Astyanax mexicanus: one gene and its partners. The protein of the gene in region 1 interacts with the protein of each later gene in a biochemical or structural test. Links are inferred from orthologs where the notes say so. Each region holds a gene or a part of one and is shown in the gene's direction. Other genes may lie near its edges.

What was found.
Region 2: the proteins of kpna1 (region 1) and kpnb1 form a complex in vitro, tested with the Homo sapiens proteins (6 studies listed by BioGRID and IntAct, with this or other methods). The link is inferred for Astyanax mexicanus from reciprocal best matches to the Homo sapiens genes KPNA1 and KPNB1.
Region 3: the proteins of kpna1 (region 1) and nitric oxide synthase-interacting protein form a complex in vitro, tested with the Homo sapiens proteins (2 studies listed by BioGRID). The link is inferred for Astyanax mexicanus from reciprocal best matches to the Homo sapiens genes KPNA1 and NOSIP.

The regions. Positions count from the first base shown.
Region 1 is NC_064408.1:95,811,411-95,818,978, reverse strand, and holds the start of kpna1 (importin subunit alpha-5), read left to right. Parts: upstream 1-4,491; 5' UTR 4,492-4,614; intron 4,615-5,232; exon of another isoform or gene 5,233-5,806; intron 5,807-7,568. Other genes in the region: si:ch211-161h7.8 (thiosulfate:glutathione sulfurtransferase), read right to left, coding at 1,187-1,325. UniProt on the Homo sapiens protein: Functions in nuclear protein import as an adapter protein for nuclear receptor KPNB1. Binds specifically and directly to substrates containing either a simple or bipartite NLS motif.
Region 2 is NC_064410.1:32,300,473-32,308,201, forward strand, and holds the start of kpnb1 (importin subunit beta-1), read left to right. Parts: upstream 1-4,662; 5' UTR 4,663-4,917; coding exon 4,918-4,957; intron 4,958-6,193; coding exon 6,194-6,252; intron 6,253-7,557; coding exon 7,558-7,729.
Region 3 is NC_064426.1:19,991,500-19,999,483, reverse strand, and holds the start of nitric oxide synthase-interacting protein, read left to right. Parts: upstream 1-4,945; 5' UTR 4,946-5,039; intron 5,040-5,069; exon of another isoform or gene 5,070-5,174; intron 5,175-5,388; 5' UTR 5,389-5,404; coding exon 5,405-5,474; intron 5,475-6,241; coding exon 6,242-6,347; intron 6,348-7,419; coding exon 7,420-7,501; intron 7,502-7,615; coding exon 7,616-7,751; intron 7,752-7,984. Other genes in the region: polr3d (DNA-directed RNA polymerase III subunit RPC4), read right to left, coding at 151-334, 1,447-1,571, 2,032-2,186, 2,290-2,333, 2,429-2,590. UniProt on the Homo sapiens protein: E3 ubiquitin-protein ligase that is essential for proper development of the forebrain, the eye, and the face. Catalyzes monoubiquitination of serine/threonine-protein phosphatase 2A (PP2A) catalytic subunit PPP2CA/PPP2CB.

The DNA.
Region 1 (7,568 bases):
TAAAAATATCTGAATTTTAATAAGGAGAACAGCATTTTAATAGCTGGTATTCCAGGTTCAGCATGCTGTTACTGTGTGATGCAACATTGGAATTGTGCAGGATCCTGTTTGTGTAAAATCCTGCATTACACCATATCACACAAATTTGTGAGTAAAGCGTGACTGGCTTGGTTTAAACTGTAAATTACACATGACGGTTTGGGGAGTATGAAATCAAGAAATTAAATATTACTGCTTTAAACTATACCTTGAGCTAATTGTAGGAATTTTGTATATATTTAATTTACTTTTGCTCAGTCCATCATTAAATAAACTTACGTAATTAAAGTAAAAATACATTTAACTGTTATTCTTAAAATTGTGTTTTACTCAATTTAACATGTAAAAAGAGAAAAACAGAAATAAATGTATTTTTAAATGTATAAAAATGTCAAAAGTAAATGTTTTAATTAACTTTAAATCTTGAAAAAAAATCACATTATCACATGCTGTTTTTTACTTTTTATGCCCATATTTTATAACGAACCAATACAAATGGTTTAAAATGACATGTTTTTACTGTGACCTTCATTGTGAACATGGTTATTTCTTTTGTCTGTAAAGATGGCATATTTAAATTTAAAATATTTAAAAAAAGAGAGAGAAAAGTCTATGTGTGTATGACATCTGTAATTTATAACTTTGTACTGTGGACCAAAAGTAGATGTAAATGTACATGTAAAGTAGTAGTAAAACTTTTGAAGCAGCTTCAGAGAGAGATAGACAAAAAGCTGTTCAGGATAAAACGTGAGTGTGACCCATGACCCGGCCGTCTCAACTGATCTCTACAACAATCACGCTGCTGTGATCAGCACATACTATAAAAGCTCCAACACAACCACAGCAGAAGATGAGTAGAAACTGTTCATTCATTTGTTTAGAAGTGCAGAGAGCCCCACATCAGCAAGTTACAAGATATGATAAGGATACAGCCCTTGGTAAAGATGCCCTATGACCCCCCACACAGAAAGAGATAGAGACTTATACAGCTCCAAACATCTCCTGCTATTTGTTTATAGCAATTTACCTTGTGTAAATTATGTTTTATATATATATATATTTTTTTAAAGTTCATCAGAGGGGCACTGATGAATAATTCATAATCTTTTGCCAATATAAAGAGACCCCCCCACACACTCTTTTTTACCAGGATTAGATGGATCTGGGTTGAAGCTGACAGCTGATGTTCTCAGTCCACGGACAGATGCGAGTCCTCCATGGCAGTAAACGGAGAAAACTGGTTTAATTGCAGCACTGATGCGCCGCAAAGCTGGAAACACTGTCATTTCTATTGGGGTCTCTCTGCAAACTATGGTCCACAGGCCACAGAGCGCAGAGACCGACTGCTTTATAGCGCAGTGTGAATGCTGCCCCCTAGCGTCTGTTAATAGTTAACGTGAACAAGACATCCCCCTGACCTAAGATAAGGATACTAATACACACACACTGCTTTTAATGAGCAACAGTACATTCTGACTATTGGCCACCACCTATTAGGGTTCAACTAAGACAACCTTCCAGACAAAAACATGCTGCTGAGATAAATATATATTAAAATATACAGGACCAGTAAACTCACCTTCCATTCAGTGTTTTTCTTTATTTTCCTTATTTAATATATTTTCTACATTGTACAATAATTTCAAAGACATCAAAACAATTAAGGGACATGTATGGAATTATGTAGTAAACAAAAAGTGTTTGTCCTTCACATTCCCCTGACCTAATTTTAAAGAAAAAAAAATGTTTGAGAATAAGCCATCTAAAAATAGAACATATATGCTATAAAGCAGCATACATTAGACACCGCCTATTTTTAAACTGACCTGATTTAGCATCACTGGGTAGCCAGCCCACTCTGAGGAAAGCGCACCTCCCAAGCTTTGATACATCAGCCAACAGATGCCTTTGCTGACCAACATCACACTAGCATGACCAACTGTGCTTTCTTAGAGTACAGTTGTTAAAACAAACAGCATGCTCTGGGATTTAAACTAACATTTCTCTGAGCATAGTGACATGAAACACTTGCTTTTTAAGTTAATAATAAACAATTTATTGGGTTCCTGAATGGTGCAGACATCTAAGGATTAGACCTATCACATAGAACTGTTGGCCTTTAATGGTATTAAAACGCTCTGTGGACTAGGTTTTGGGTATAATTTCTTTAGACATGCATGCCAGTGATTTTAAATTTACAAAAGGTAAATGTTTTTATTATACTGCATACTTTCACCTTCATGTTTTTCCACTGTTTGCCTGATTTAATCATCATTCAAAGAAGATAAATTAGAAACTGAAATCAAGGTGAATTGATAAGCTCTGGCTGTAAAAAGGTCTGAGAGTTCCATATCTATTAAAACACTGATTTACTACTAATACATAAACTATAAATTATGACGGGTGGGACGGGTAAACATTCTTAGTAAACATGGCTCACGCTGCCACCAAAATACATTTGCAATAATTTGTAATAATAATAATAATTTTTGGATGTTGGATTGAACAGTGCTCCTTGGGATGCTTAAAGCATGGGATATGTTTTTATAATCTAACCCTGCTTTAAGCCTCTCTATAACTTTATCTCTGACCTGTCTGGTGAGTTTCTTGGTCTTTATAATGCTGTTTGTCCACTAGTGTTCTCTAACAAACCACTGAGGCCTCGACAGAACAGTTGTATTTATACTGAGACTAAATTACACACAGCTGCACTCTAACTTATTCAGTGACTTCTGATGCCAATTGATTGCACTGGATTTTATTTAGGGGTACAGAGTAAAGAAGGCTGGATACTTTTCATATTTTTCTTTTATAAAATTTAAAAAACAATGTATTATTTTCATTTCACTTCACAATTATGTGCTACTTTGTATTGGTTTATTACTTAAAATCTCTATAAAATACATTTAAGTTTGTTGTTGTAACGTGAAAAAAATGTGAAAAAGTTCAAGTGCTATATAAAGATTTTTCAGTTTCAAGTGCTAATAAAACATTACAGAAATAACACTGCACTTTATATAAAAACCCATTTAAGCATTGAATTCATTTAGTGCTTTTAAAAATTATCCTTCTGTTTTGAAAGGGTGTTAAACTGAATTCACCTTAAAATACAATAATTAGATGAAACATATATTAATGCAGTGTTTTATTTATTTTATTACATTTTAAGAATGTTTATTAACAATATACAATTATGGCCCTAACATAAACAAATAATATACACAAAGAAATTGTGTCATTTTACAGTTACAAATTGTTAAATTAGGTATGGTATTTTCTCGTAATTTTATGGGAATTGTTTGGCAACTTTTGTCCTAGTGTTAATATTAAATCCCATCATGTGCTACACTGTACAGCTCAATTTTCTGCCTCTAAAATATATTTTTCTGTTAAAATAAAATCCAGTTTTCCATCAGACACCTTTAACACACCGCACTACTCGTGTAGGTTAGTGGCACCATCTAGCGGTTATAAAACTCAATGATAACACCAAACATATATTTAAAACGTATATTTACACTGCCTGGACAAAAAAGGTCGCCACCAAAAACAAAAGGTCATACAGTCTATTATTAGGTTGGACCGTCTTTAGCTTTGATTGCGGCACGCGTTCGCTGTGCCATTGTTTCAATAAGCTTCTGCAATGTCACAAGATTAATTTTAGTCCAGTGTTGCATTATTTTTTTTACCAAGGTCTTGCACTGATCTTCTCCAGCACATCCCAAATATTCTCAGTGGGATTAAGGTCTGGACTCTGTGGTGGCCAATCCATGTGTGAAAATGATGACCTCATGCTCCCTAAACCACTCTTTCACAATTCCAGCAAGATGAATCCCAAAAATCAATATTTAGTGGAATAACCCTGGTTTTTAATCACAGATTTCATACATCTTGACATGTTCTCCTCCACCAGTCTTACACGCTGCTTTTGGATAACGTTTTGCCACTCCTGATGTAAAAATTCAAGCAGTTTAGCTTGGTTTGATGGCTTGTAATCATCCATCTTCCTGTTTATTTTAGAGGTTTTCAATTTGGTAAATCAAAGAAACTTAAAATTTTAAATGATCTCTTATTTTCCCCCAGAGCTGTATATATAACATTCATACAGGTTAAATATGCAGTTTAAAAAAGCTGCTACAAGTCGGCAGAAAAAGAATTACTTCAGTAAAGTATAGATAACCTAAAAAATATTTGTACTTAGTTACTTGACACCTCTGGGAATATGCACACTTTACATGCATAAAAACTGAAAGTCTTCGGGCAACCCCAGGCGGGACCAAGACGGCCAGTTCTTCTTGTAAATCAGTAGAGAAGTTTTAATAAAAGCTGGTTCTATCAGTATGCACGGTTAGAATACAGCATATAGAGAGACGCAGTGTTTTACTGTGCTTGTTGGCTTTTTTGTAAAGCGGGTTACATTTTAAACCAGCGTTTTATTAATATACAGCAACGCGCATGCGCAGGTCGAGCTCAGACCTCCGCAGTCACACATGCGCAGTAGTGCAATACCGGTCAGACGCTCCGGATCAGCAGCCCAAACCGACGACGGGGTAAACGGGGACGGCTTTTAAACAGGTCAGTGTCATAAGAAGGCAAAAATTTTTGACCGAGGTCATATATTTAGACACGAGCCGCGTTCGGTACCGGACAGACAGCTTCAGAAAATCGGATTCAAGAGGGAGAGGAGAGAGCAACCGGCGAGGCGGCTCCGTTCGGCTGATTGTGGCGCATGCGCACACCGGGGCCGCGGGGCTTTATTCTCGAAAAAGCTGAACATCGAGTCCAGCAAGGCTGGAAACACATTTCTGTAGTTTTATATTTAATCCACTATAGTTTAGTTCATCTACCTACAGGTGTAGCCACTTTTAATGATGTCGATGGTGACAGTTAGGCTTTAGTACTGATTTAGATCAGATTCCACATTGATAAGACCTTTTTTAATTGAGACCGCAGATTAGCCGTTATTTTGTATCAGTTAGATTGTTTTTCCAATCCTTCACAAACTCTTAAAAACTAGCTCGGTAGCTAACAGTTAGCAAGCGTAGGTACATTTGCCTTCTCATTTATTTTGTATGCCTTTTTCTAGCTAACGTTACCTTGCTAGCTAGCTAACTGCGCTAACTAGGCTGTCTAGCTAACGTTACAGTTTTCTTTATGTCATTATATAACATAGCTTTAGCTATCTAACGCTAGGTTATCTAACCTATCTAGTTATATTTTTCATGATATTTTGTTTACTTGTAATAATTTTACATAGGTTAGCTAAATAATTAGGTTTAAAAGTCCGTTAGGTCGCTGTGTTTTTAAGATATCTAATCTATGTTAGCTAATGCTAGCTTTTACCATCTATTAAATGTTGCCCTCTTAGCTAGATAACTAACATATATGTTAAGCTGCCTGGGTTGCTAGCTGTGTCCTTACTCGTTTTATCACTTTTTTATATATTATGCATATACTGTCACACAAATTGTAACTCGAATTAGCACACATTTCCTAGCCAAACATCCCTCTAAGGTGGTCATGTCTGCCCCATGGACGTCATCCACTGTGGCTGTGAGTGTGTGTGTGTGGGGGGGGCAGATTAGCGTCAGCTGGCGAGGCTAAGCTACGATAGCTTTAGCGACGGTTGTTTATGTAGTTAGGTCAGCAGGGCTGATGGTCTGTCTCTGACTGTTGGTGCTGGGGTTAACCAGCAGTTTAGGAGAAATACCGCACTGAATTGGCGTCATCGAATTCAAGCGTAGTGTCAAAGTCTACATAGATACCTGTAAGTCTTTTCTTGGCTTTATTTTTCCTTTTTATGATCTATACCTTTGTTATTTGTGAAACATAAATAACGTGTTACTGTCTCCAGCTCCTACTGTTCAGTTGACAACCGTTGCTGGACAATTTTCTGACTTTGTTGATCTAAGATTTGGTTGCTTCTGAGGTCACTACACACCACTAACGTTACACTTGTTGTCGTGTAATAGAGTATTTTTGTGCTTCATGCTAAATTTTTGCACCAGGAGTGGCATAAAGTTCTCCAAAAGCAACGTGTAAGACGGGTGGAGGAGAACATGCCAAGAATGCATAAAAATTGCATTAAAACCAGGGATATTCCACCAAATGTGGATTTCTGAACTATTTCTATGTCATGTGGTCTGAGAATGAGGTCTGAAAGGTCTGCATATTTTGTTCTTGTTATTTCAGCCATTTTTATTTTTTTGCAAATAAATGCACTAAATGACAATATTTTTATTTGGAATTTAGAAGAAATGTTGTCCGTAGTTTATAGAATAAAACCACAATGTTCATATACTCAAACATAATTAAACCACATTAAATTCAGAAAATGATTTATTAAACTGAAATTGAGGGAATAGTAATAACCTCACTTTAAATATTTTAGAGTGTAACATTTGCCAGTAGGGTCCACTTGACAGAAGAGGAAAAAAAAAAAAACTAAACAGAAATCTGTAAAGATTTTTGCAACCCTGGATATAAGGGACAGTTCTCCTTATTAAGAAATGAATAAAGCCCAAATGCTTGCAAAGCATTTAAATTTGAAAAATTCCAATGAAAGAAAAATATAATCTGTGAACAAACTTAATCCCTCTTCAGCAAACAGTCTCTAGATATGTTCTTCAGTTGTAGCAGTGTCAACATACTAAGTGTTTAGATTCATGGGTAATGTAATCTGTTATTGTCTACTGTTTTACCAAAACTTGTAAAGTAATGTTCCTTTGCCAGTATCTCAAACCATTCCTATTTCTTGAGCATTAATTAGGTCTGGTCTTGGACTAAATTGCAATATCTTTAGTGATTCTTTGTTGAAAATAGGAATAATGTTGGTCGGGGAATCACAACACTGTCCCTCAGGATGCTAAATGTTTACTGAGAAAATTACAGGCTTTTCAAAAAGGTATGTTTAGGGGGTTGTATAAAGCAACGTGTAAACCAGTAGAAAACCAGAACCAGGAGCAGTAGAAAACATAACCTGAATTATTTTGCTCACTGGCAGTCTCACCATTCTTTGTGTTGTTTGCAAGAAATGTGGAACACCCTTTAGGATTTAGTTGTTGATCTGCAAAGGCCTAGGATTAGGCCCAAATGTGAGGAAGAGAGGGCAAAATTGTTGCCAGGTGGGTCAGAAATATTTAATATGTGAAACATTAAAACATTAAAAGCATATTGTGAATGCACTCACCACTTAAAACAGTAGGGGAAATTCTAATAATCTGTTTTTTTGTATTCATGGATGTAATGCATTGAATAACCATATTTTTTTGTTTATTTATTATTAACTATGGGCCTGTCAGGATATTTACGTTGAATCATACAGTACATTGAAAACCTCACACTTTTCTGACCTTAGAATCTTCCTCTGTGTTTCCTTGCGTGTTTGTTTACATACAAATAAACATTACAAATAAATATTAATACTTTATTTAGCCAGCCACAAAAGACCAATGCATAAAACAATGTCCCATAAAAGTATACTATGATAAATTGAAAGTTCAGTGCCCTTTAAAGAGGTGGATCTAAAA
Region 2 (7,729 bases), on another chromosome or scaffold:
TGCAGTTGAGCTGATGTGAAATGGGTGTCACCACAGGTGGACCTCGCATCTCAATCCTTAGTTAATTTACTGTGATCTCTGACTGACCTTTACCTATTGCACTATTAGCTTATGTTATCATGATTTAACCCTGTTAGTAGGGTTAGGTTGGTTAGTATTAGTTTGAAATATCACTATGTTAGCCTGTTATATTTGAGTAGCTTATTAGCTCTGATTTATTAATTTGGTACACCAGGCTAAAGTTAGCTTTAGCTTTTTTTGTTTCAAATGTATCAACACACTACATGGACTAAAGTATTAGGGCACCTACATATTACACATACATGAGCTTTTGGCTATGTTCATATTACCAGGCTGAAGAAAAATCTGCTTTTTTTTGCTCAATGTGGCCAATTTTTTTTTTCAAATGAGATTTTAGTCACTTTCATATGGTCCTAAATCACATACCTATTCGATACATTGACATGTGAAATGAATGTGAATGGTCAAATCAGAATTTATGCATCTTTTTCTTTTGTGCATGCCCTATGTGCTTCTCTCTCGTACCCACACTTCTCTTGGTGCAGCTATGGGTGCAAAAACTGCAAAAGCAAACCGCCTGGTTGTTTTTTTTCTCCTCGACCTGAACTGTACTTCAGACCAGCTGTTTGTTCTCCACTCCAGCAAAAGATGCTCCACATATGAGCTGCTAACTCATCCATTTCCCTTTATAAAGCTACGAGTCGCCTCTCAAATATGACGTTTTGTGTTGGTGGTGAAGAAGGCGACGTTTATACACAAATCAGTGTGCGCATGTGAGGTGTTTCAGGGACATATTCATTCACATTACACACAGATACAGGTCACTTACATTTGAGAATGTGAACCGTCAAGATATCTAAATCCAATCTGAGCAAAAAAAAAAAAAAAAAAACGTTTTTGGACAATTTGGTTTGTAATGTGAACGTGGCCTTTAAGACGTCGTCCCCTTCTGAACCCAGAGACATTAATATAGAGTTTACCTTCCCTTTGAAGCTTTAAGAGCATTAGAAACTTCTATGCACTGCCCTCCTCAGCAGTCAGCACATCTGCACTGTACCTGTACATGGTCAGACACATACCGCTCACAGCTGGAAAATCACAGTTATGGAATATTAAGGAGGGAGGACATCCTGGAGTTCAGTCATTTAGACATGTCCCAATACTTTTGTCCATGTATCCTTTTGTGGTTAGTCTTAGACTTAAGGCAAGTCAGATTAGTTTCTCAAATCAGATTTGTTGAGATGACTGTGCATGTCCAGACATTAAAAGCATATCTAAATGAGTTGATAAGTTAACAAGGTCACTGTCGTTACCTAATCTTTGTCGTTCTTATTGGACTCCCCACTTCCATCACTCTGAATTGGATGAAACTGCTGTTTATTACATTGTAAGTGATGCAAAGACAATGATAAAATCAGATTTGATCACCCAGAGACCTATCTTTACAAATCCGAATGCAATTGCATTTTAAACCACTTCCAAATGCAGTTTGGATCCAGTTTTTAAAAAATTATTTCATGTATTTTTTGACTGTCCAGACTGTCAAAAATCAAACTGGTTAGAATTCAGATATACCAAAAATTTGACCTGAACTTTCCCCTCAGAGTATCTCCCAAAGTTGTCAATTATGAAATGTTTTACTATATTCATCCAATAGTGTACAGAGTACAAGAGAAGTAAAATTAGAATTTATCATGTAAGTCTAGCACAAAAACGTCTACTTTAGTTCACTAGCTTGTCAAGCATTCAAAACGAAGAAAGTAAACACAATAGTTTCAGTAAACTTTATACTACTGACTGCGTATTGCTGAACACCCGATCATAAATAAAAGTGTTACTGTTCTAAAACTCTCATGTTTTAAAAAATAACAGGCTGGTTATCTCGCCCACCATAACCATTTAAACCTAAAAGGGAGTCAGCAGCAGTAACAGCAAAAACTGTCCCTGTCCTGTTGCTACTGTCCCGCGACACTCTCCTACTGTCCCGCGACACTCTCCTACTGTCCCGCGACACTCTCCTACTGTCTCGCGACACTCACCTACTGTCCCGAGACACTCTCCTACTGTCTTGCGACACTCTCCTACTGTCCTGCAGAGCTCTTTAACTGTACCGCGGAGGTTTTTAACTGTACCGTGGAGGTTTTTAACTGTACCGTGGAGGTTTTTTAACTATACCGCGGAGGTTTTTAACTGTACCGCAGAGTTTTTTTTAACTGTACCGCGGAGGTTTTTAACTGTTTTAACTGTCCTGCAGAGCTTTTTAACTGTCCTGTGGAGCTTTTAACTGTGCCGCAATGTGATACATTGTGTCTTATCTTAGTTTTTTTGAGACGACTTAAGACTTATGAGATAATTCCCCTAGATTTGACCATCAAATCTATTATATAATATTTCCAGTGTCATAATACAAAGTAGGTGAGTGTCGCGAGACAGTAGGTGAGTGTTGCGGGACAGTACGTGAGTGTCGCGAGACAGTAGGTGAGTGTCGCGGGACAGTACGTGAGTGTCGCGAGACAGTACGTGAGTGTCGCGAGACAGTACGTGAGTGTCGCGAGACAGTACCTGAGTGTCGCGGGACAGTAGGTGGGTGTCGCGAGACAGTACGTGAGTGTCACGGGACAGTAGGTGGGTGTCGCGAGACAGCAGCAACAGGACAGGGACAGTTTTTGCTCTTACTGCCTCTCAAGGGAGTCATACAACCTGATAATGTCTTAGATCAAGTCCAGAATTAATAGGTTTATAAAAACCTTTAGTAGGACATTTTTGTTTATTATTGGTAATTATTTTAATACTGCTCTCAAATTTTCCACACAAAAGCATCAAACAATTCAGCTCTTTTTCAGGTTTTTAAACTTAAACTATAACCGATTATTATTTCTGTATTTACTAAGTACTGCACATTTATTTACTGGTCTCAGATATGAGACTCGAAACAAGTGGAGCAGAAAGTTTGTGAGGATTACAGTGAGCGCCCCTTATTAGATCGGACCAGGGGATTATGGGAAAGTAGCAGCCAACGGGTTTAAGCCCTCATTTGCCAAGCAGAAAGGAAAACCCTGAGAACAACAAGCACCTAATTAATAATCACTCAGTAATTAATACTGGTAATTAAGCATCCAATCATTAATAATGATCAGACTGTACTTTGGGTGTACTATGGAGGACATCTTGTATACAATAACAGCAACTGTACAAATGGAAACTATGAGCCAAAACTTTACAGCCTCTCTGACTGTGGCCCAGAGCTGCTGTTTATTGAGGAGCACGCCAGTCAGAGCAGAGGTGCTCTGGTACCTTCTGTCAGACAGCATCACTAATTAAAAAGGTTCTGTAGGGGATTGAGGAGAGTTTTTATAATAGTGATGGCTTTGCCGATTTGGTGTGTGGTGTAAATATCAGGCCCGTTGCAACAAGGCAAGAAAAACCAATCAATTGTCTAGGGCCCTGAGACATTGACTGGTTATGATGATTCTGTGATGGTCACTGCAGGAAAGTACAATGACACTGATACCGGAATCCCCCTCAAGGGGCCCTTCCACTAGTTGCTGACAGTAATCATCCAGCCAGGTTTGTGATTCCTGCAGCTGGCAAAAAATGCATTTTGCTTGGGACCCCCAAAAATGGCCCTCTGTTTAGGATGGAGAGGATGGAGACTAAAGACGATCTCAGCTGTCCTCAATATTAGATTAGGTTATAGGTTATATAGGTTATAGGACAGAGATGCTGTGATTCTACAGTCCTTCTGTAAAATATAGGGATGATTCCTCAGTCTGAGCTTTCTTCAGTCTTTACAAGATGTTGCTGGGCTTTCTTGGCTATGAATTTGGGATTGAGGTAGGTACCCGGTGAAATTATCTGCAGGGTGAGCACAGAGCAACATGTTAAAGATTCTTGAAGTTACCCTGTTAATATTATGATCCAATAATTAACAGAAAAAATCACATCGAAATAATAACAAAATATTAAATAAATAACATTAATATTAACACATGAACACGTATTTATCCCAAAACAGCCAATGATGATTTGAGCCTTTAAAAGATGTGTAAAGTTACTTAAAGCACTTTGTCCTTCACTTAAACTCATGAAGTTCCTAAGTGATGCATACTGAACCTTCTGGGAGCATTACAGTAGAGTGTGTAGATGTGTGCTTGTTTATCTGGTCTTATTTACAGAATGTAGGAGTGCTGGGTTAGTTCTGGAGGTAGTTAGTTCTAGCTTCATCATATAGTAAAAAGTGTATATAACTGGTGCTGATATTATTTCTAGAATAAAATGTTAAAATACAACTTATGACATTGTTGTACTGTTTATGTTTTATTGGAATGTTAACCATAAAATATTAAAAGTTTAGTGTTTTTTATTAATTACAATAAGAAAAAAACACGAATGAGCTGCTCAATTAATTTAACCGATTACATTTTTCATTTTAGATCAATATTCAGAACTGAGTCTGGGCTTTGATGGGTTAATTCACTAATTTATTCCTAAATAAATTATATTAAAATAATAAAATAAAAAATGTTCTGAAGAACCTGTCCTCATCTGGAGAGCGCGCATGCTGAGTCACGGGAGCGCGCAGGAGGGGTGTACGGGTATTTTATATATTTATTTATTTAAAGTGCAGCGCGCATGCGCGTGATCGTACCGCGGGAGTCTCGCGGGCCTTTCTTTTCCCTCCGCACGCGGGGCAGAGTGCGAACTGCTGGAACAGAGGAGCAGAGCACGCGGAACGACAAACAACAAACAGGCGAGGAAACAAACAACCGGCCAAGTGCGGAGAGCCGAGCGAGAGACGGGGGAAAGAGAGAGCGGGGCATTTCCGAGAGTTCCACTGTTTCATCTGCAGCGCGTTAGCCCCTCTCTTGTAGCCCGAGTGTGAGGTGTTAATCCGGGATGGAGCTGATAACGATCCTCGAGAAAACCGTCTCTCCAGGTGCCGCTTTAATCTCTAAACACCCTGTGCTGTTCCTCCCAGGCTGGCTGCAGTTCCGCTGCCTCAGTTCTGGGGGAAGATTGTCTAAAATGCTCTGAAATGCTGGCTGACAGGCTGGGTTCGGGCTAGGCACCGCTAGCAAGGCGGCTAACTCTATGCTAGCCAGCTATGTTAGCATGCTATGGGCCCAGCTGGGACGCCGCTGAAGTTAGCGCTCTTTCTAACTCTCAGTTCCACCTTAAACGTCGTATCGCAGCGCCACAGTGAACCTGCGGCACGGGTTTTAAGGTGGACTGAAAACTCGAACGGCGGATACCTAGTTGGATTCAACTTTAGCGACTTCCTTCAGCTCACAGTGTGCTGTATGCTGATTTTATATATGATATATATGGTTTAACTCGTTAATAAATAGAAAGGTCGTAACGTAGGGTCGGGGCGGTGATGTAGTGTGGGGCGGGTGTTGAAAAATGCGCGGTTAGCTGTCAGCTTTTAGCGTTTACCGGCCCGTTAGCTCGCTAGCTTAGCTAACCAAGCTAGCGTTAGGTTGGCTAGCTAACTCGGCGCGGGTTTTTTGGCTGATTTTGTGAGCCGTTTGAGTCCGTACTGGGTCCATAAACACCCACGTAAACGTTTTAGTGCGTTTTCTGTGTGTGTAAAGTGTATATAAATTAACAAAAGTGGCGTTATTTACTAAAGAATTTCGTTTTGGTAAGTTTGTCGGTTGCTAACCCGTCAGAAGTTGGCGATAGCTCAGTTAGCCGTAAGACTAGCTTAGCGTTAGCTAGAGAGCGCTAAAATCTAGCTAGCCGGCTCATTAAAAGTTTATAGGTTTATAGCCGCGCAGATCTCGGGGAATAAAAAAAGATCAGTAGCTTAATTCGCACATATAGGTGAGATATCGCGTCTGTGCCGATTATTATGTGTTTTTAACGCTGAAATTGGGCTAGAGTTGGCCGGTATTGCAGGCTGGGTTGGACCGGTATGTTAGCGGATACCGGGACTGGTTCTCTTCATGCCCGGCGGGAGGGAGTGGTAGCTACATCTTAAAAGGGGAGGTTCACGTTAGCTAGCGTTAACTTACACGGCTTTAGCTAGTTAACTAGTAGAGTTATAGCTAGATATAAACTTTCTACTTTTTAATAATTTTTGTTGTGCGTTTACTGTGTCTCTCCAACTTTAACTGTGTACACCGGTTGGTTTGCTGAAGCTTCATTTACAGTCTGTCATTTTCCTCAGATCAAAATGAGCTGGAGGCGGCGCAGAAGTTTTTGGAGCAGGCAGCGATTGAAAATCTGGTAAGTTTCGTGAAGCTTTATTTCTTCTGGTTTAAATTCGAGCAGACTGATGAAGGCTTGACTGCAGTGAGCACTGGTCTCTCTCTCTCTCTCTCTCTCTCTCTCTCTCTCTCTCTCTCTCTCTCTCTCTCTCTCTCTCTCTCTCTCTCTCTCTCCTCCACACGTTGCCCTGAATGGAGCAGCTCACCGTTAGCAGGCCACTGGGCCTCTGTAACTCCCGTATCACTGATTGTTAATCCCTTGATTTAAACGGCGAGTCCTGCCGCAAATGCCTGCACAGCTGTGTGCATTACACCATGTTACAGGTCCAGATAAACCGGTCAGACAGTAAGCCAGTTTGCTTTATATGTACTGCTGTATAGTAAACATTATATACGACACAAGATTGATAAGATTCAAATTGAGTAAATAAACTGATATTTATTTTTAAACGATACTGTAAAGCTGTACTGAATCTTGGCTCATTTAATGCCTCCTAAAGCTACAGATGTGTAAAAATCAGACGTATCCCTCCAATTCTTTGACTTTGTTCCTACTTGACAGTTGCATTCTGACCAGAGCAATATAATTCACCTACATTTATCTGATATCATACTATTGATTGGTTTGGTGGATTGAATTTGATCTCAATGCAGCCTAGTTATTTTATTGCCATCGGTGCTGTGAGATTTATGCCTGACCGTGGAAAGTTAATTGTAAAAAAACAGGCAGGTTATTTACACATGAGCTTGTTCTCTAAGATTAGTTCCAGGGATTGCACTGTACAGCCAAGGAGTTTGTCTCCCTAACAACATATCTGAAGTTCAATTATTTGTATCAGTGTTGTAACAAAGCAACTTAGTCCCAGCCCTTTTTTGAGTGAACCAGTCATTAGCAAGTGACAAACTCCCTCATAGGAAGAAGAGATTTTTTTTTTTTTTTACATGGAGCAGCCAAGTGTTGTCTTAATATTTAGCTTTTTTTAAAAATAACTATGTGCATTACAATTGTTTGCTTTACTAAAATAAGTTATGAAGTACTATAAGTGTTGTACTAAATTCAGTATTTCACACAATGAGTTTTATGAAACAGGACTATATAATTGTGCTATATAATATCTGCAGCTGGCTGGTGTTTCAGCTGTAAGGAAAATATTGCAATGTACTCAAAGCTTAATGCAACAACTTATTGTCATAACTATGCCTATGTTACCCTGTTAATTTGAATTTAGTCAGCCCAAATAGTAGGGGCTTCTGTTATGTTGCCACTAAAATGTTTGTTATATTTAATTTTTGTTAACTTTGTGTTCTTCCTTCTTCTCTTCAGCCCACTTTCTTGGTGGAGCTCTCCAAGGTGTTGGCTAATCCTGGAAACACCCAGGTAGCCAGAGTCGCTGCCGGGCTGCAGGTGAAAAACTCCCTCACGTCCAAGGACCCTGATGTGAAAGCGCAGTACCAGCAGAGATGGCTGGCCATCGATGGCAATGCTCGCAGGGAGA
Region 3 (7,984 bases), on another chromosome or scaffold:
CACATACAGATGTTTACAATAAATTTCAATCAATGCAGAACAGCCTGGTCATTATTACAAGAGAAACTAAAGGAAAAATTAAATCACACACCATGTTCATTCACTCACACTGCTTGTCATTATTCACAGCCTTTATAACACATCACAAACCTGTAACAGCGGCACCAGAGCTTTCAGTGTTCATTGGTTCAGCATCTCCAGAGCTGCTCTCCATTTTAAGGCCCGTCTTGGTGTCCTCCTCAAACTCCTCCTTAAAGACCCAGCCGGACACAGCCAGGGGCAGCTGCACAGGACAGTTCCTCGCTTCGCTTCGCATATGGGGATCATCCAGAAACTGCAGCACATGCATGTGCACACACAAATTTGTGAGTATCTGGCTATTAATATTGTTTTAGATATTAATACTATAATAATTATCATAACTGTTGTTCAGTTTATTTAATTACAGTCCAATTTCTATATTTCATTTTATCTTTTTTATTTTCACTTTATCTGTAATTATGCTTAGATTTATGTTTTTTGTTTCAAAGGCATGACTGGGATGAAACTTAGTGCTTTCTTATTATTTCCAATAATACCAGCACCTTTAGTAACATCCAATCAACCACTTCACATCTATGTATGTCTATTAGAGGTGCGCCATATCGTATTGTACACAATAATACTCATAATTAAAAATAAAACAATTTTGTCCGAGCAGTATTCTGTCTAGAAGCTGTCTGTTTTTTATTTGTATCTGTTTTTCTAAAATTTTTCTTAATATTAATTAAATAATGGGGGGCCCTCATATACAATTGTTAAAAAACCAAAGTATGCAGACTACAGACAAAAACTGTGCCATTTGATTCAGGACTAGACTTAGAAAAAAGTCTACATGTATTCATGTCAGTTTGACTAGTTTTTTCAAAACTTTAGCGTATTTTGAAAAGGTCAAAAGGTCATCTGGAAAAACAAAAAATGTGTGAACTTTCCAATTGAACACTCCTGATAAACAATGACAACATGTGGAAAACCTTTGGCACATTCTAACGAATATGAATGAATATTCTACAAACCTCAACAGATTTGTATATATAAAATTAAGCACTGATTATGTTTTAAGGACTCTGATAAACAATGATAACAGATGAAAGCCTTTTGACCATCTCCAAAATGTGACAGTGTGTCCCAAATTGTATTAGACCTTCTGAAACATCACCAACCTTTACTCTAGTAGGCATCATTGTGCCAGTTTGTGCTTAAACTTAGACTGCCGCTTTTGGCTATATTTTGTTTTATTTTTGTTACAATATTATTATTTTATAAAACGTTTCTGGCCTTTAGAAATTATGAAGACAAATAACTTTTAAAAACATTATCCTTTTAATCACATTTCAGTCTGGACTGCCATTGCTAGATATTTAATTATTTCCCTTTTTGGAATTCATGCCCCATAAGCACACTTACGTTGTCTCTTTCCAGTTTGCGCAGAATCTCTTTGGTCTCCTCCTCAGTCTCCCTCTTCTCCTTCTTAATGTTGATGATGGGGGAGGGGCCAGTGTTGGGCGTTTCTCTTGCATCATCATATACACCTAACAAAGAAACAAAAAGTCAGAAAGCAAGAAAAATGCATGATTCTCTTTTACTGCTGAGAACTACTGGTACTACATAAAGTACACATTCGTGCTTCTTTATTTTTCTTTATTTTTAATGGTCAAATGGTTAAATGGCTGACCTTGTATAGTTAGCATAAAAATGAGTATTTAATTTGGCCCAGCCTGTTTATTAATACTAGTTTAAAGCAGTATTATTCTCCTGGGTTTCCCCTACAGTTGTGAAGTGTAATTCACTTCTATTTCATTGCAGTAAATACAAACTGAGTTTTGTGCTCCCACTCATGAACAGGCTGTACATATGCATTTGTTAATAAGCTGAGAGATACACTGTTGGCATCAGAAGTGATAGAAGCATGTGGAAATAGATGGTAGAGTAATACTAAATTTTTTGTGGTTCTTGTCATTGCATTTCCCCCTGACCTGTATTTTATCATACCTCTCCTCTTGGCCATCATTTCCGCAGGGCCCTGCTCAAAGATAGAGTGGGACTGAATGACCTCTGGGCGACCCCGACCTCTGCCACGCCCGTCTCGCTGCCGCCCTCGATCCGCATCTTTCCTTTCTCTCCTGGGTCCCTCATCAGCTTTCAATCTGCAACAAAACAGCACAGCTACTGTAAAGTAAGGCCAGCTAAGGGTCATTATATTACACTGGAAAAGACATTTGATTGCAATACACTCATGTAAAAACTTACTCTTCTTTACTTTTACGACCAATGATGTTAGGTGTGAATGTTTTCTGTGGGGCAGAACAAGAGAGAGAGCACAGTTGCTTAATACACTGACACTGTTTTTTTTTTTTTTTACCAGTGAAAACAATGCAATCTGGTGTACCTTTTTTACACCTCCCAGTGTGAGGTCTCTTGAGCGCATGGTGGGGAGACGACCGGGAGAGAGAGCAGCAGGCAGCCTGCGGCCAAGCACTGAACCTCTGCCACCACCTCCAGGCTGAGGGGTACGGGGTGGTCCAGAATCACCAGAGCCTGGTGTGGCCATTTTCACACTATAATTACATGCAAAATTTGACATTTAATCATTGCTGTGAATTGTTTAGTGCTTTGCATTACATAGTCAGTACGACAACTATTGTTAATATGGTGTTACATGCTGTGTAAAGTACTGCAGATTCATACTAATATTCCATAATATTCCATAATGGTTACTGATTAGTAAATAAAACAGTACACATACAGCTCATCACTGCTGTCCAATGAAAACCTCCATTTCTGTCTGTTTTATGTTTTGTGAATGACTTGAATCCTGTGGATGCTCTCTACACTGTGTAAATAATTATTGATGAATGGACCAATAGAAATGATCTATTAATGTGGAATGAACTCTTATTTTGCATTGAATTCCATGGAAATTATGAAAATTTTTGCCTTTTGCTGTAAAGTCACAGTTTTGGAGGAACTTGTTTTTTAGCGGACAGCGACAATATTCACACAGGATTACAATCAGGTCACTATTACTGCTGTCAGTGTATATATATTCTCAAGTTACTACAGTCATGCTGGAAAACACATTATATATTTATATTGGCTAAACATAAGACACATATACATATTCATGCTATATTAAAATTACTTTAAAGTTATTACTGTCAAACTGTAGATTCATACTGGATTAACAGTATGGATTATCTATACACTTAAAAACTACAAATTCAAGATAATTACATACTGGATCAGAACCTGTTAATTTTCATTGTGATTAATGTCAAACTTCATAACCCACAAACTGCATATTCAAACTGGCAAAATACACTAAATACACACTAGTTTTAACTACTTAAAATACCCAATATCAATAAGCACAAAATCACCACCATTCCATTTTTTTCATTATTATTATTTTTTTGGCTTTGCTATTGTAAGTCCCTTATTTGTGCCTTTTATTTAAAATATTTCCTGACAGCAGTAAGACGCCACCAAATTAACTGTGCAGACCTCGCTGTTTACACTGTTTTCTCACAGGGACTTTATGTAACCGTTCTGCTACAGGTAACTTAAAAGTGCTGAGCGGCTGCAGTTCCCTCCCTCACTGTAAACACATGGCAACACATGGCTAAACTGCCGGCCGCTCAGCCGCTGAACAGGGAGCCGGCGGGCTAGTTTAGCTCATAATTTACTGCCACTGAAGAAAACGACGAGGTATTTACCTGCGAGCTGCCTGCTGTCCTACCTGAGCTCCTCAGAGTTTCCAAATTAAACCAATAAAAATAAATCTCACGAGACACAAGTTAGAATAGGGCGGAGTTTTAGTAACGACACGAAAGAGGAAGTGACGGAAAACATGTCGGTGCGCTCAAATCGGCATTACCCCTACTCCCTGTTCCCTACTCCCTACTACATACTGCCTACTCTCTAGTCCTTTTTCCTGCTGCCTGTTCCCTACTGACTACTCCCTGTTCCCTACTCTCTACCTCCTGTTTCTTCTTGTTGACTACTCCCTACTGCTTGTTTCCAATTCCAATAGTGCCTCCCTACTGCCTAGTCTCTGTTCCTATCTACTTGTTGGCTACTCCCTGTTCCCTACTCTTTACTCCCTAATGCCTATTTCATACTCCCTATTCCCTACTTCCTATTCTCTACTCCTTAATGCCTACTTCTGTTCCTCACTGTCTACTATGCCTACTCCCCACAAACTGTTCCCTACTCCCTGTTTCCTCTCGCTACTCCCTTTTCCACTAGTCCTTACTCCCTACGTTTTATCAGAAGCATTTTTCAGTTGTGACTATTTTCTGCACATTTTCAATTTCCCCAGTTATATAAAAAATACGGTAAATGGAGCGCATGTGTTAATAAATGGTGGTGAATGAAGCTAAATGGCTTATAATAGTGTCTACTACTTACTACCAGTATATTCTTACTGTTTGTAAAGTATATTACAGTATTTTGCTAAAATTAAGCAAAACATTTTTCTACAACAAATGTTTTTGGTAAACAGAGACACTAGCAATACTGCTACTGTGTGATGACTTGTCTGTGAGCTGACGCTGAAGTAACCGCGTACTGGAGCTTTAAAATTATGTGAAACATTTAATATGGTTCCGTGTTGAGAAATTGAGATTTTTCAATATAAAAATATAAACCATTTACAATCTATGATTTGCTCAATTGCTATGAGCTCATTCATTTGGAATCATTCTGGAGTGCCCTCTAGTGACTGACAAACCCAGAACATATTCTCAAGTGGGTATTGTCTTCTGTAAAAGTAAGTTATATCTCTGAGTATATCTGCATTAAATCGATATTTATAAACTATCGCATAATATATTAGCGGTTTTCCACTACATACATTTCAATCTTTTATATATAACACATGTAATTAATATTTTATGATGTGGAGATTTCCTGTCCAATTATGAAGCCTGTCACACTTGTATTTTGAAAAAGCTTTCAAGCCGGTGGGTCACTTCCTATTCCGGCCAGCTTGGCTCGAGGTAAACAAACTGCACGGTTGATATTTTATAAGTACTTTATTTTTATACCTCTGATGTAAAAACAGTCTAAATACTGATAAATTGACGTCTACTATCCCGCTACCTCGAGCTACAGTTGAAGAGCGCACTGTTTCAGTTAGCTGTATTGTCGCTAACCTGGTTGTACAGGAGCAGCTCTGTTAGCAAGCTAAGCTATGTTAGCTAGCTAAACTAGCTGGAGTGTTTGTACTGCTTGGTTTTTTATGTCTTGCTAACGCTAGCTTAACTAGTTAGTTAAACTGTTTTAATAGTGTTGGTTGTGTTGATGGTAGCTAGCTAAGTGTAATCTTATAATTCTGCTTCATTAAAGCCCCTGAAAACCAAACATGACCCGACACGGGAAGAACTGCACTGCGGGAGCTGTGTACACCTACCACGAGAAGAGGAAAGATACAGGTCTGTTTCTGGCTCCTTTAAAATGTGTAAATGTTTTTTTTTCTCTGTTTGCAGCTTTGCACAAATACAGCTGCAGAAACACAGAACGAGTCCAGAAGGTGTAACAGCTCGACCCAATTCACCAATTTATATTAACTATTAAGACTTTTTTTCAAATTTTAAGCTCCCAAATTTTAAAGTCCTAAAAAGAGTCTATGATTCATGATGTGATTTAAACCACAGAATTGTTCACATGTCTGCTTTTTTAACAGTGGACTCCATTATCCTATAATGTAAACAAATCCCAGTTAAGAAAACACTTGCTAATAATGTGAAAAAAGTGAGCTTTAAGAAGACCTTCCTCCCTGTTCCCTACTTTCTACTCCCTACTCCCTGTTTCCTTCTTCCTACTCTCTGTTCCCTACTTTGTACTTCCTACTCTCTACTTCTTACTCCCTGTTCAATACTCCCTGTTCTCTTCTCCCTACTCCCTGTTCCATACTCCCTATTCCCTGTTACTTGTTCTCTACCTCCTACTCTCAGTTCCTTAGTTCCTACTCCTTGTTCCCTACTTCTTTCTCTCTGTTCTCTACTTCCTACTCCCTATTTCCTACTCTCTACTTCATACTCCCTGTTCCATACTCCCTGTTCACTACTTGCTACTCCCTACTACCTATTTCCTACTTCCTGTTCTTTTTTTATAATTTTCACCGCAATTAAAACATGATGTGGGAGCCAGAACTGTCTTCCTGTTTTGTCTTCTGATGGCCTCTGTCTATTCCCTACAGCTGCTTCTGGATATGGAACTCAGAGTGTGCGCCTGGGGAAAGACGCGATTAAAGATTTCGACTGTTGCTGCCTCTCATTACAGCCCTGCAGAGACCCGGTTGTAACGTAGGTGGACTTTCACAAGTTATAAACTTAAACTTAGATACAGCTAAAACAATATATGGGATTTAACTGAGCATGATGTCTGTATTATTCAGTAGTTAATATGTCTGGATCATTAAGAGTGAAATATGTTGTACAGCTATTTTTTAAAATTAATTTACAGCAGTGGAAACAGGGGTTGCATTGACCTCAACACGAAAACTGGCATTTGATGTACTGTCCAATAAACACTAGTGAATCTGCACCTGTAGAATTACGATTAGTAATAATGCCTTAATATGAAAAGTGATCATAATAAAAATAATAAATTGGATTTTTTTTCATCGTTATTTAATTGCACAGCATTTTACTTGCATGCTAACAATTTTATGTATATATGTATATTATGTTGCAACCTCCACATATTTTATATCTCTATCTTCATGTACAGTATCCAAATAAACGTTTGGACACACCTTAAAGCAAGTTAACAGCAAGTTAACTGCACCACAGATAAAAGCCACCTAAATGCTTCACTATTTTGGTTTTTTTAACACTTATGTTTACTACATGATTCCTTATGTTATCCTTCTTAGTCTGGATAACTTCAGCATTCATTTACAATGTAGGAAAAATCTGAATAAGAAGGTGTGTCCAAATTTAGTCAGGTACTCTATATGTCTCGTATATATTTTATTATATATCTATATATTTATGTTTTATCCTTTCTGTCTTTATCTTGATTTTTAAAAGGTTCCATAATTTCAATGAATTATTAGTCTTTATTTAATATCAATAAAAATAAATAATAATTTAATAAATTTAGAATTTATGTTTTAATAATTTAAAACAATTTAGAAACCTTTACTCTAAAATAACCTAAAATTATTAATTAGACAGTGTTTTTTAAATCTTAGCTTTTCCTATGTAGTTTTCTATTATAATACACAATTGAATTCATAATCACTGTCCTGATATTTCTGGGGTTGTTAAACCAAGGTCCTTTTGTAACATACAAATAAACATCAAAAAGACAAAACAAGATAATTCTCTAGGAGATCTAGATCTTTATTCTCATGTGTCTGTTGCTTTACAGTGAAGATGGATTCCTCTATGAAAGAGAGGCAATACTGGAGTACATTCTCCATCAGAAATTGGATATTGCTAAGAAGATGAAGGTTTGTGAAGGCTTTGACTGCAGCTCAACTCTTTACGTTCTGTATATTATACTACAATCCTTACAATATTAGTATTTATCTCTCCCTCTCTTTTATATGCTTCAACTCCCCAAGGCCTACGAGAAGCAGAAACAGGCTCTGAAGAGTGAGGGACAGCTGGAGTCCTGCTCAGAGGAGAGGGAGAAAGTAGAGAAGTTCAAGAAAAGAGAGGGCAGCATTGTCTCCAAACCAATCAATCCTTTTATTTCAGGTACAAGGGGACAAATTCAGTTCATGTTTGTGTAATACACTTATGTACATTTATGACCTCATATTATTTAATTTATTGTCATGCAGAGGAGTCTATATTCAGTGTTAAAAAGAATTTGTTAAATAAAATAACCACATTTGGTTCCCTAAAGATAAAGGTTTAAAGAAGACTTAAGACAATAGTAGGTAAGTAGGAAAATTAGGGTAATTGGTTTGGTGTAGGGCTGCTTTGCT